Nothobranchius furzeri: one gene and its partners. The protein of the gene in region 2 purifies or fractionates together with the protein of the main gene of each other region. This does not show direct contact. Links are inferred from orthologs where the notes say so. Each region holds a gene or a part of one and is shown on either strand. Other genes may lie near its edges.

Region 1 (3,752 bases), on a different chromosome or scaffold from region 2:
CAACCACCAACCTGTGGACCTCTGAGTTCTGCGGGGGAGGCGGGGGGGAGGGGGAATCCAGTGTTGCAGATAGATCTTGGGGAGAGCAATGAGAGAATACCTCTGATGAATTAGCAGAGGGCACTGAAGACCGAAGAGAAGAAAGTTTTTCACTGTGAGACACCGGTGCTGGGGAGGACAGAGGCTGGGAGAAGAACAGGGGGGAGTCTCTAGAAGATGGGCTGGGGACCGGCGTTCCCTTTGCTACGTACGCTGAACGCTTAGAAACGGGGTCTTGCTTTAGGCTCCTGGGACTGGAAGTGAGACTGCGGGGACTCCTCGCTGGGTAATAGCCCCCGCCCCCTTCTTCCAGTTTAGCTTGCTGTTGCATCACAGCAACTTTAATCAACGAGGAAGTGCTAGGTGCTTTGGCCATGCCAGGGGAGCTGGGACGGGGCTTGACAGCATTAACTGGAATTCTGTTTCCTTTGTCATTTTCAAGGTGGTCTGTCCGAGGCCTGTCAGGAGAAGGAACGACCTCCTGGTCGGCCAACGCATCGGCACCACCAGCAGTCCCGTTGGTGGGTGGCGGAGAAACAGAGTCATCAAACGCCGACAACCTGGAGATTTTTTCTGTTACGTACACGCCACTGTCTCTGTGCTCTGCCCGCCGCTTGCGGTTACTTGACTTCTCAGCCTTAGGCGAGTATGTGTTGTGAGCATCACTTCGGATTGTGACTTCTGTGACCGCTTTCCCCGATACAGAAATGTCAGGGGGAGAGGGATCGGTTTTGCAGGGATGGGAACTGCCATTGGTAGACCCCGGGACACTTGCTGAAACAGCCGGCCCAGGTTCAATCAGTTTTTGCCAGTTTCTCAGGAGTTTCTTTGCACGCCTTGCAAGGTCTTCATCCTTGGTTTTCCTCCTTACATCATTAATCAGTTTTCCAAGTCGAGTTTCCTGAAAATAAATAATTAAAAAGTGAAAACTATTTTGGCACCACAGCCTCTGTAGGCATTAACCGCCTATGACACGTTCATTCTTACCTCAAGTGCTTCTTTGGTAATCGGATACTTCTCAAGACAAGCGATCACTTCCAATACAACCACCATGTTGCATATCTGCAACAAGGACATGCCAGCAGTTAGTAACCCCCAGCTTCTACTGGTGGCAGTAATATTTAGATTTACAGCTGTAGTCTGTGGATGAAAATGTAATCACACTGGACAATCCCACCCAATCACATTCCCACAGTAACAGGAACTCCAGAGATCTGGACTAACTGCTCCCTGACTCCGGGGTGGAAAACAACATGTTCATCGGGAGAAACTCAGCTGGATGTTTAGCTCCAGAAACCGAACGATGTTGCAAAGCTGATGTGGCACAGAGACACTCAAAAATACCTGGAATCATCTCAGCAAAGGTTTATGAACTTGGAGCAAACCGAGCATCTTGTCGACAGCGTCAGCCCTAGCCCGAGTCGGTGGACCTGCCTGTGTTAGCTAGTCAGGGTAGTTAGCATTTAACTTACTTTAGAAGGAAGGAGCATTTCCTCAACGCTATTCCAGCCACTTGGTTCCCTAAACTTTGTGATTGTTTAAATAAAACATTTTCACTAAAACTGTGCTGTTTGGGATAACTTAAACTTTTCTTTAGATGAGATGATTTCGTAAAACAACGACTGGATTGCTCCTTTATACCAAATCTGCTTTGGTGTTAAGCTACGTTAGCAGCTAACAGGCTACATAACGGCAGATATCCGTCCAATCAACGCAGCGCTGCTGCTAAATTAGCTGGCATGCTAGCTGTCAACTCGCCCCGAGCCTTTTTGTCACCGAGACATCCGACGTGTCGAGGCCGAGCGCACCTTTCAGCGTAGTTTGTATAAACAGCGACGTGCCACCCGAACAGCTGCGTGGATGTTGATAGGCAAACAAGCTAGCGTTAGCTTTAGCATTGCTCACATTGCTCTGACTGTCAATGGCCTGCAGCAGCCGGTCCTTCATCTGCTGCGGGGTTGCTGAGACCGTTGTCATTGCCTGTTCGGTGCGATCCAGGAGATGGAGGGAGGAATCCTCCAAAACGAAAGCCGGGTGACTCAGAAGCCGCTTCGGGAACACGTCGGGCGCCCGAGCAGCATGCTTTCTGTCGCATGTAGGTCTGAGTTGATCTCACATGGAGTCGGAAATATGTGAGCGGAGCGGAGTCGCTGCTGCCTCGGACCTCCTCTCACTACCAACTGCTGGATGCCTCAACGGCCTCCTGCTGCATGCTGGGATACGATGTGTCTACGTCATCACGTTCGTACGTAACCAAGTAAACATCCCGACCACAGTGACGTTTTTAAATATAAACTTTGTGAGTTGTTTTTCAGTAAATATTTGATTGACCGATTTTATATGAAACGTTTAAATTAAATTAAATTCAAGTTTATTTATGCAGCAACTTGGTGGACTGAATGACGGACTGACAGTTATGAAAAACCTGTTTATTACAGATGATACATGTTTGTGATTATAAAAATAACAGATCTAAGACAGATGCTAAAGCACATTGTGATTTCCTACGGACCTGTGAAAAGGACAGCTTTTGAGAGCTTCTGGCTCATGCTGTCACACTGAAAGCTACGAGTGGCTAATCTTGCAAGGTGGTGCATCCTCAGCTTAAAGAACAGGGAGACAACAGATGTCAACAGTGTACGGGAGTGACACTCAGTTCCGTACGGTGTCTCACTGATGAGCTCCCCGAGCAAAAACACATCCTCTGACCCGATCCTCTTGTGCACGATGTAGATGACCTCCAGTGGTTTGATGGGCTGTGATCGTCTGCCCACTGATGCCTGGCGAATTGCCCACTCTGCTGCTCTGATGACCCTCACAGCACCTTCAGATGGGACCACAAGACCCCGTTGTTCTGCAGAGACAGCAAATGTAGCTCTGGTCATCACAGGCAGATGCAGCATCATCACCAGGCTGGCACGGCAGACATCACAGGACAGCTTGGTCATGGCTCGCCGCACAACAAATCCTGAAATTACAATTACTAATGTAACTGGACAGTGTGCTTGTCTTCATACTTTACATAAGCCTATAGAACAACACGGTGTCAGGTGAGAAATCAGACAAGAACTACAGTTTGTCTACCTAAAGTAATCATGATTAGTAAGTGTGGCATTAATTCCTTGTATTTATTAATCAGGGGGATTTGATGAGCCAGCAGTTTTTCTAAAGACTACAAACATCTTTTGTGTTTTTCTTCTGACCGCTTTTTTAGGTTCTTTTTGAAACACGGGGAAGGTTTTTTACCTGCTGACACTTTTGATTGTGTCTGCGATCTTCCTCAGAGCTGACCCCACTGAGCGTTTTTTTTACACTATCTGAATGAATAATAGTTCAAAAGCAAAGCAGATGACAGAGACTTATCAGCCTAACACAGTTGAATGTTTGTTATTGTTAAATCGTATGAATGACACGTTGCCGTGACTGAAGACATCGTCTATTAGAGCATCCATAAGAAGCACAAAAGTCAGGCATGCTTGTTGTGTTTCACGCGTATTTCGTGTCCCATTGATCATTTTTCCTTGACCACAAAAACAAATCATGACATTCCAATTAGATGACGTCAGCACATCTGTTGCACGTACGTTGATGAAGCCGTATGGAGTTGTGAGAGCAAGCATTGCTGGAATCCGAGTGTTCACTCGTATTTGTTCGTAGCGAAAGATTCATGGTAGTTTTGAGGGATTTTTTGGCTGCTGCAGGCCCCCGTACTT
Region 2 (3,752 bases):
ATACAAATCTGGGTTCAAAAATGGCCACTCCACTGAAGCCTTAAAATAAGCTAGAGCGACTGCCCAAATCCTCAGTGCTTATCCTGCTTGACTTATCTGAATTTGACACAGTCAACCGTGGCTTCTTTTTGTCCATACTCTCTAGCATGGGCATCACAGGGAAAGCACACTCCTGGTTTGAATCTTACCTGACTCGGACAATCTTCTGCTGTTTACCATCTTGCCACAGGAGTCCCCCAGGGCTCTTTACTAGGACCTCTTCTCTTTGCCACATACACCACCACATTGGGTGAGATCATTCGATCGCATGGCCTCTCCTACCACTGCTATGCTGACGACACCCAGCTCTATCTGTCATTCTCGTCCGGACGACCTCACAGTCTCTGTACAAATCTTGGACTGTCTTTCTGATATATCAAGATGGATGAAATCTCACCATCCCCAACTCAACCTCTCAAAAACTGAATTACTTGACATCCCAGCAAACCCATCCATACGACACAATATCTCAATGCAAAACGAGCCCCTATCTCTGGCTCCTTCACACACAATTTGAAATTTGGGTGTTGTGATTTATGACCAGCTGACCTTTAACTCATTACCTTCCGGTCGTTTCCTGATCAGTAAAGCCCTTCGCTGCCAGAGGTTTTCAGCGTTTTCACAGTTTTTTGAAAAGTCACCGAACGTTGCACTCTATGATGATGTCAACGCCCAAACTACCAAAACAAAGAGTAGACTCACCTCTTACATCTGGAATAATCTGCGTGTTTAGAGTGTTATCCATTTTTTCATAATCCGTTGTCGAATTGTGATCGGCAGAAGCTTTTCTGGATCGTGCCTCACTTTTTTTTTTACAGCAGCAGCCCAAAACGATCTCCTAACACATGGATTTTTTGCTTCCTGATCATGTGACGTGTGATGTACATGGATAAAGATCAGCTTTAGAGCTGGGATGTTTGTTCTCACGGTACGGGAGCTCGTTCCGACACCCACACAGTAAAAAAAAAAATACAAATGATGACTTTAGTCATCAATGGCAGGAAATGAGTTAAAGATCAAGTTGCCTCTGTCACTCGTTCATGCCGCTTCATGCTGTATAACATATAAAAGATCAGACCATATCTAACAAAATATGCCACCCAGCTCCTGGTTCAATCTACAGTCATCTCCAACCTCAACTACTGCAATGCCCTTCTAACTGGTCTTCCTGCCTGTACTGCGAGATCTCTTTGACCTTGTCCATTTTCAAGAAACTCCTGAAGACCCAGCTCGTCAGAGAGCATCTTCTAAGCTAGCACCCTCCCTGCACCCGTCCCCCACTCTACTGTCCACTCCTTATTCACTTCCCTTTACGATTCATTATGCTGCCTCACTGCCACCTAGGATTGACTGATTAGTGTTTGTTGTAAGCCTCAAGGGCAACCTGCTGGCTTCATTATTACTTGTAGGTCTTTTGGACAAAAGCGTCTGCTAAATACATGAACATAAACATACCTGTTTTGCTGAAGGCGTCATGCCCATCTGAACAACGATGATGGCTCGAGTGATATTCTCCTCCTGCATTCTCTGACAGTACATTTTAATGGTCTTGATCCCCACCTTGGGTTCCTCTGGTGGGACAAAAATGGACAAAAAAAAGATGAATTCATAACAATTTTCTTCAAATCAAACACGCTTCTCTGTTCCAAATGTAATCACCCAGTTACTTCTAGAAAAGACTGATGCACTGAGCAAAAGTCACAAAAGTCACCTGGTCTCCATTTCTGTTCAATCTCCCAGTTAAAATAAACATACCGGGAAAGAAAACAAACATCTGGTCAGTGGGATCATCATTGTGTGCCACCAGCACCGTGAGATCTGTTCGTCTGGGACGACCTTCGCTCGGTTTGTCTCCAAACTGACTCTTGAACTCCTCCAGAGTCTGGTCCAACTCGTCCTGGGTCACAAGGTAACCTCGATCATGGCACAGCTGAAGGAGGAAAACATCAGAGAAGGTATCAGAAAACTCATTTAATAAACATTAAAATTAAATAATTCGTCTGTTATTTTGTCGAACTTAAACACACTTATTTAAATTTTACAGAAACAATTGTTGCAGTCAGGTTAGAGCCGCTAGTCTTGCTTCGTACTTTGGTAAACTGCTTAAAATACCAGTGGAACAAGTGTTGAACAAGCTAGTGTTTAGCCAGGCTGTCATAATGTTAAAATAAGGAGTACACAAGTCAAATTTAACGGAACTTCAGTGATAAAAAATACATTCATTCATGTTGAGCTAACGAGCTAAAAGAGGCTAACAAGCTAAATAAAGAAAACATTCAAACCTAACGAACCTGCATGATGGTTTTGCGGATCTTCCAAAGTCTATATGTTTCCTCTTCATCATCCATGTCCTGCTAAATAAGCTGTGTGCACTAGATTTGGTCAGAAAATGATTTTTTTTTTGTTATCAATATCGCTCTTTAAGCGAACGCACGTTTCCCGATTGACTGACACAGGCTGATGACGTCAGAAAAGCTGACCTGAAGGGGTTTGCTCCTTCTCTGCTTTGCCGGTGTTCATGTGCTTTTTTATCTGACTAAAGACCAGGAATGGGGTTTTTCGCTTGGTTCAGAGACCTTCTAAAGTTATTGCGCCTCTAGCATTTGTTAACGACAGTGCCATCTTACAACGAGGCTTTTCCAGCAAATTAACTTCAAAGACGTCATCATAAACCAGCAATCACCGCCGCTGTTCTGTTAGTTAAATAAAGATTTTCGCCACTAGAGGGCAGATTTGTGTCCCCTGTTGGATAATTTTAATTACATCATGTCCCCATTATTTATCAGTATGGAAAGCATGCTGGAGTCAGACCATTTGTTCGTTCTTACACAATCAGACTAGATGCATCATTGTGGATCAGTACACGGAAATGTGTCAAGACTGTGTGCGCCACGAATCGTATCCTAAATGAACAAGGTGTGAAAAGTGGGTGTTGCTGTATTTAGTCTGATTGTGTAAGACCGAACACCCCAGCAATCTTTCTGTGCAGATAAATAATGGGGGCATGATCTAATCCATGTCCCAGATAAAGTAAATAATTTATCCAACACCCTCCTCCTTCGATTTGAACGTTAAAGCCATCAAATGGTGAAACTCTGTACGACCTCTAATTGATTGTATTAGATAGAGGGTGTTTGTTTCAGTGCGAGTGACGTGCTGTACATGCTGCTTCGTGAGTAAACTCCCCCTCTCGCACAGCGCGCCGTGACATGCGCCAGAGACTTAATGGTGCAGACTCCATGATTTCCGACAACAATGCTCAATACAACAACAACGACAACAGTGATGATGATGATGATGATGATGATGATAATAATAATAATAATAATAATAATAATAATAATAATAATAATAATAATTTTACCCTTGGCCCACCTAGTAGCCTACAACGGGGCGGAGTCACGTGCAGCTACAACGAACAACCGAACAACGCATGGATTTTCGACAGAAGTGACCTTTTCTATAACTAAATGAGGCCGTTATATGTTGTTTTGGGCTTGGGGGCTGTGGCGAGCAGCGGGACACTACTGGCCGTGATTTTGTATTTTGTTTTATCCACGGCAGCGGTAAAGTAAACCTCCGTGATACTTGGCTTGTTTTATAATGAGATTTAGAAGTTGTGTAACTGAATATGGCTGCTGTGACATCTGTGGTGCCCTTGCGGGCACGATTGCAGACAGTATTTACACAGGCAACGCACTTCAGGTTGTGTA
Region 3 (3,652 bases), on a different chromosome or scaffold from region 2:
GCGTTCCATCCGCGAGCCGCATCACCAAGCGGAAAGTAAATGCGTCAAGCATAAACACACCGATGTTTGTAAGGTGGTCTTTAAGTTCTCTGGGTTGGGTCCCTGAAATCTGCAGAGAGGAGGGTGGATCTCAGATGTTTGCATGTTTTTGTGAGCTTGTGTGGAAGTTTCTTCTCACATCCTCTGTTTTACCTTCTGCTCTCAGGGCTTGAAGCCGCAGAGCTTCAGGAATCCCTACGACATCCCTCGGAGCCACCTCCTCGACCAGCTTAGCCGAATGAGGAGAAACCTGCTCAACACCAGCGTCTGCACTCTAAGAGGACAGGACTCTGGTAAGAAGGCTCTCTGCACCTCACTTATTTTTGCTATTTTCTGAAAAACAAAAAGTCACTAGCGATCGTTGATGCCACGTGTCCAGACCAGCTCCACAGTGTGCCAATCGCCCAGATGGGAAACTACCAAGACTTCCTCAAAGCTGCCCCCCAGCCACTTCGAGATGCAGATCCTGAGCAGCCCAAACGTTTGCACACGTTCGGAAACCCCTTTAAACTGGACAAGAAGGTACGTCCTGCCTATTCGCCTGGAATAAAGTGGATGTTTGGATCCAGAAAGGTGATGCTGACCCGATTTTTCACACAGGGAATGATGATCGATGAGGCGGACGAGTTTGTGACCGGTCCTCAGAACAAAGGCAAGCGACCTGGAGACAACAACATCAACATGCCGGGTGGGGGTCCAAAGAGACGTCGCTGCATGTCCCCTCTGCTGCGTCTGGGCCGGGCCTACACCCCTCCGGTATCGCCCTCTGCCAGTCCCCGGCACTCATCAGGTAGGACCAGAATCTACCCTGACGACTTCCAGAAGTAGACCACAGAAATTAAACCATCTCTCCAATCCCTTGCTTTATAGAAACGGACATAAATGACGGTTCTCCTGACCTGATCATTAACCACCTAAACCAGAACCACTATGGGTCAGACAGCAGCTCTGACTTGGAGATGGACCTCCACACAGGACCAGCAGACCTTCAGGAGAACCACACTTCTGATGAGGCTCAGGTCCTTCGGCACATGGACGACGATGAGGAGGAGGAGGAGAGCGGGCAGCAGCGTGCTGGCGAGCTGCTGCCCAGCCTCGAGGGAGGGGTGGAAAGGGCTCTGATAGAGGACCCGCCCCCCCGCTTCCTCTCACCATCCGCCCTGAAGAAGCACATTCACACCGAGACGACAAAAGTCAACAACGAGCTGAGGACACTCATCACCAAGGAGATCAGGAAACCTGGCAGACGTGTGTAGACCAGAGACTTCTGTTAATCTGATGTTTGAGTCACTTCCTGGGAGATTAAATAATCCTGAAACTCTGACCTGTACAAGCTGATGTTTGTTCCTTCTGCTTGGTTTGTTTCAGACTACGAGAAGATATTTCTTCTCCTGAAGCAAATCCAGGGAACTCTGGACACGCGGCTCATCTTCCTCCAAAACATCATCAAAGAGGCGGCCAGGTACTCGGAATTCTTATTTGCTGTGATTTTATGAGCTACGAGCAAAAAGATTGGGGGGGGGGGTGTTACAGAAGGTGAGTTCAGAACATCGAGGCTTTCCTGATAAATCTCTGCTTGACATGGCGCACCTGTTTACTTTGTCGGCTCCACGAACGATGCTCGGGTGGATTCAGTCCTCTCTAATTCAAGCGAGGCGCGGCAAGCGAGGCTCACGCACTTCCGGAGGCAGCCCCCGTTAATCGATGCTAGATAAATGATAAAGGGAAAGGCTGAGCCTCGTTCTTCTCCCAGACTGAGAGATATTTATTCATGCCTACGAGGACCACAAAGTTATCAGAACTAAAATAGAGACCGCCAGTTGCCTGATTATAACCGTGTAGCTGGCGCTATTTAGTTAGCATTCAGTGTTTACGTGTTTCCATGGCAATGCCGGAAGTCCGCTTCAGCTCTGTTTCTCTGCATATTTTATTTAAAAAGCAAGTCAACCCCTACCAGAGTCTAACTCCACTCCCACTTCCTGTTTGAAAAATGCAACAAATGCTGTTGCCTAGCAGACCGAGAGGGTGGAGCCGCTAACAAATACACACACACACACACACGACATTGTGACATCATGATGTACCATCTAACATCATAGTGCACCTCTTAGCCAATAGCGACGGCAGATTTAAATTCAAATGCAGTGCAGAATTTTTACCTGACGACGGTGCATCGCTGATAGTTTTAGGCAGAATATTTAAATTTTAACTGCGATGCACTAAAGTGCAAAACCATTGACTACACGTGTGTGCAGCACGATTAGACATGCATTTATATAGTTTATTGGAAAAAAATGTTGATTTGGAGTAACTTGCTCTTTAAAGAGCAAGTTACTCCAAATCAACATTTTTTTTGCTGATAAACTATATAAATGAGTGTGATTGTGCTGCACACACGTGTAGTCAATGGTTTTGCTCTTTAGTGCATCGCAGTTAAAATTTAAATATTCTGCCTAAAACTATCAGCGATGCACCGTCGTCAGGTAAAAACAAGAATGTGGTCATAGACACTGATAAATGATGCTTTAGTTTATGTAAAATAAATAAATGATTTTCATAATTGGAGTCACAGAGCAGGACTGAAGAGCTAACCGCTAGTCGAAGCAGCGTTTAATGACTCCAGTCATGGAGGTTCGTGAATCTGCAAACCGTCACACATTTTCCATCTTTAAGGACTCCTCCTACATGTTTGTCCCTCCCTCCTACGGAGCTGGAGCGCGTCAGACGCTAAAGCCTAGATTATACTTCTCTGTCTGCGTTGTTATGGAGATACGAAACACGCGGGCTCTCTGGCAAGCTCGCAGAGGATGACGTATTTAATGTCTATGGCCATCGCCTCGTCAAAAAATAAAACGATATCTAGCTGCAAACATGGAACAGATTGAACAACGCGTCGTGGAAAAGTCAGAATATATGAAAGTTTATTCACCCGTGACTGAAGGAGGACTTTTGTTTTTCCTCTCTTCAAAGGTTCAAGAAACGCGTTCTGATTGAGCAGCTGGAGAACTTCCTTGAGGAAATCCACAACAGATCTAATAACATGAACCACGTGGACTCGCTCTGAGACCGGCTGAGCCCAAACCCGCCCCCGTCCCCCGTAAAGCCCAAACACGAAGTTCCCTTGAGGAGACAGAATCCAGCCCAGGAGCCACGGCCACTTCAGCCAGCCCGCCAACATTTAAGGTGGCCGCGTTGGTCCAGGCTGACCCATCACCAAAGGCAGATCTGACCCTGGAGGATGGTTCAGATGGCTGCGAGAATGAACAGGAAGTGGTGACTGCTGCGGGTGAAGCCTATGCAACCAGATGTTCTGTTGGACGTTTGACTGCAGCTGCTGCCTGAGCCTCTCCTCGCTAACTCACGTGGTCACAGTTTTCTTTTACTTAAACGAGTATCTCCTAAACGGAGAGAGGACGAAACTCTCGTGGAGAGGACCAGAGGGCAGCTGCAGCCTGAAAACTTTAGTTTTTGTGACCACGTGTTCGGGAGAATAAGAGTTCAGTCTGAGAGGTGTGTGCTTGTTTTCTGATAACTCGGGGTCGAAAAGGATCCGTTGATCATTTTCCTCTCCATAACCCTTTCCCTCCGCTCACGTTGAGTCTTAAGTTTTAGG

What was found.
Region 1: the proteins of polr2eb (region 2) and crsp7 purify together in Homo sapiens (affinity purification with mass spectrometry; 3 studies listed by BioGRID and IntAct, with this or other methods). This does not show direct contact. The link is inferred for Nothobranchius furzeri from reciprocal best matches to the Homo sapiens genes POLR2E and MED26.
Region 3: the proteins of polr2eb (region 2) and ints6 purify together in Homo sapiens (affinity purification with mass spectrometry; 3 studies listed by BioGRID and IntAct, with this or other methods). This does not show direct contact. The link is inferred for Nothobranchius furzeri from reciprocal best matches to the Homo sapiens genes POLR2E and INTS6.

The regions. Positions count from the first base shown.
Region 1 is NC_091751.1:71,980,761-71,984,512, reverse strand, and holds the start of crsp7 (mediator of RNA polymerase II transcription subunit 26), read right to left. Parts: upstream 2,225-3,752; 5' UTR 2,017-2,224; coding exon 1,945-2,016; exon of another isoform or gene 1,848-1,944; intron 1,102-1,847; coding exon 1,027-1,101; intron 941-1,026; coding exon 1-940. UniProt on the Homo sapiens protein: Component of the Mediator complex, a coactivator involved in the regulated transcription of nearly all RNA polymerase II-dependent genes.
Region 2 is NC_091748.1:48,494,534-48,498,285, reverse strand, and holds the start of polr2eb (DNA-directed RNA polymerases I, II, and III subunit RPABC1), read right to left. Parts: upstream 2,791-3,752; 5' UTR 2,388-2,790; coding exon 2,331-2,387; intron 1,970-2,330; coding exon 1,795-1,969; intron 1,611-1,794; coding exon 1,495-1,610; intron 1-1,494. UniProt on the Homo sapiens protein: DNA-dependent RNA polymerase catalyzes the transcription of DNA into RNA using the four ribonucleoside triphosphates as substrates.
Region 3 is NC_091754.1:31,110,635-31,114,286, forward strand, and holds the end of ints6 (integrator complex subunit 6), read left to right. Parts: intron 1-205; coding exon 206-332; intron 333-418; coding exon 419-561; intron 562-639; coding exon 640-829; intron 830-909; coding exon 910-1,287; intron 1,288-1,407; coding exon 1,408-1,501; intron 1,502-3,009; coding exon 3,010-3,103; 3' UTR 3,104-3,317; downstream 3,318-3,652. UniProt on the Homo sapiens protein: Component of the integrator complex, a multiprotein complex that terminates RNA polymerase II (Pol II) transcription in the promoter-proximal region of genes.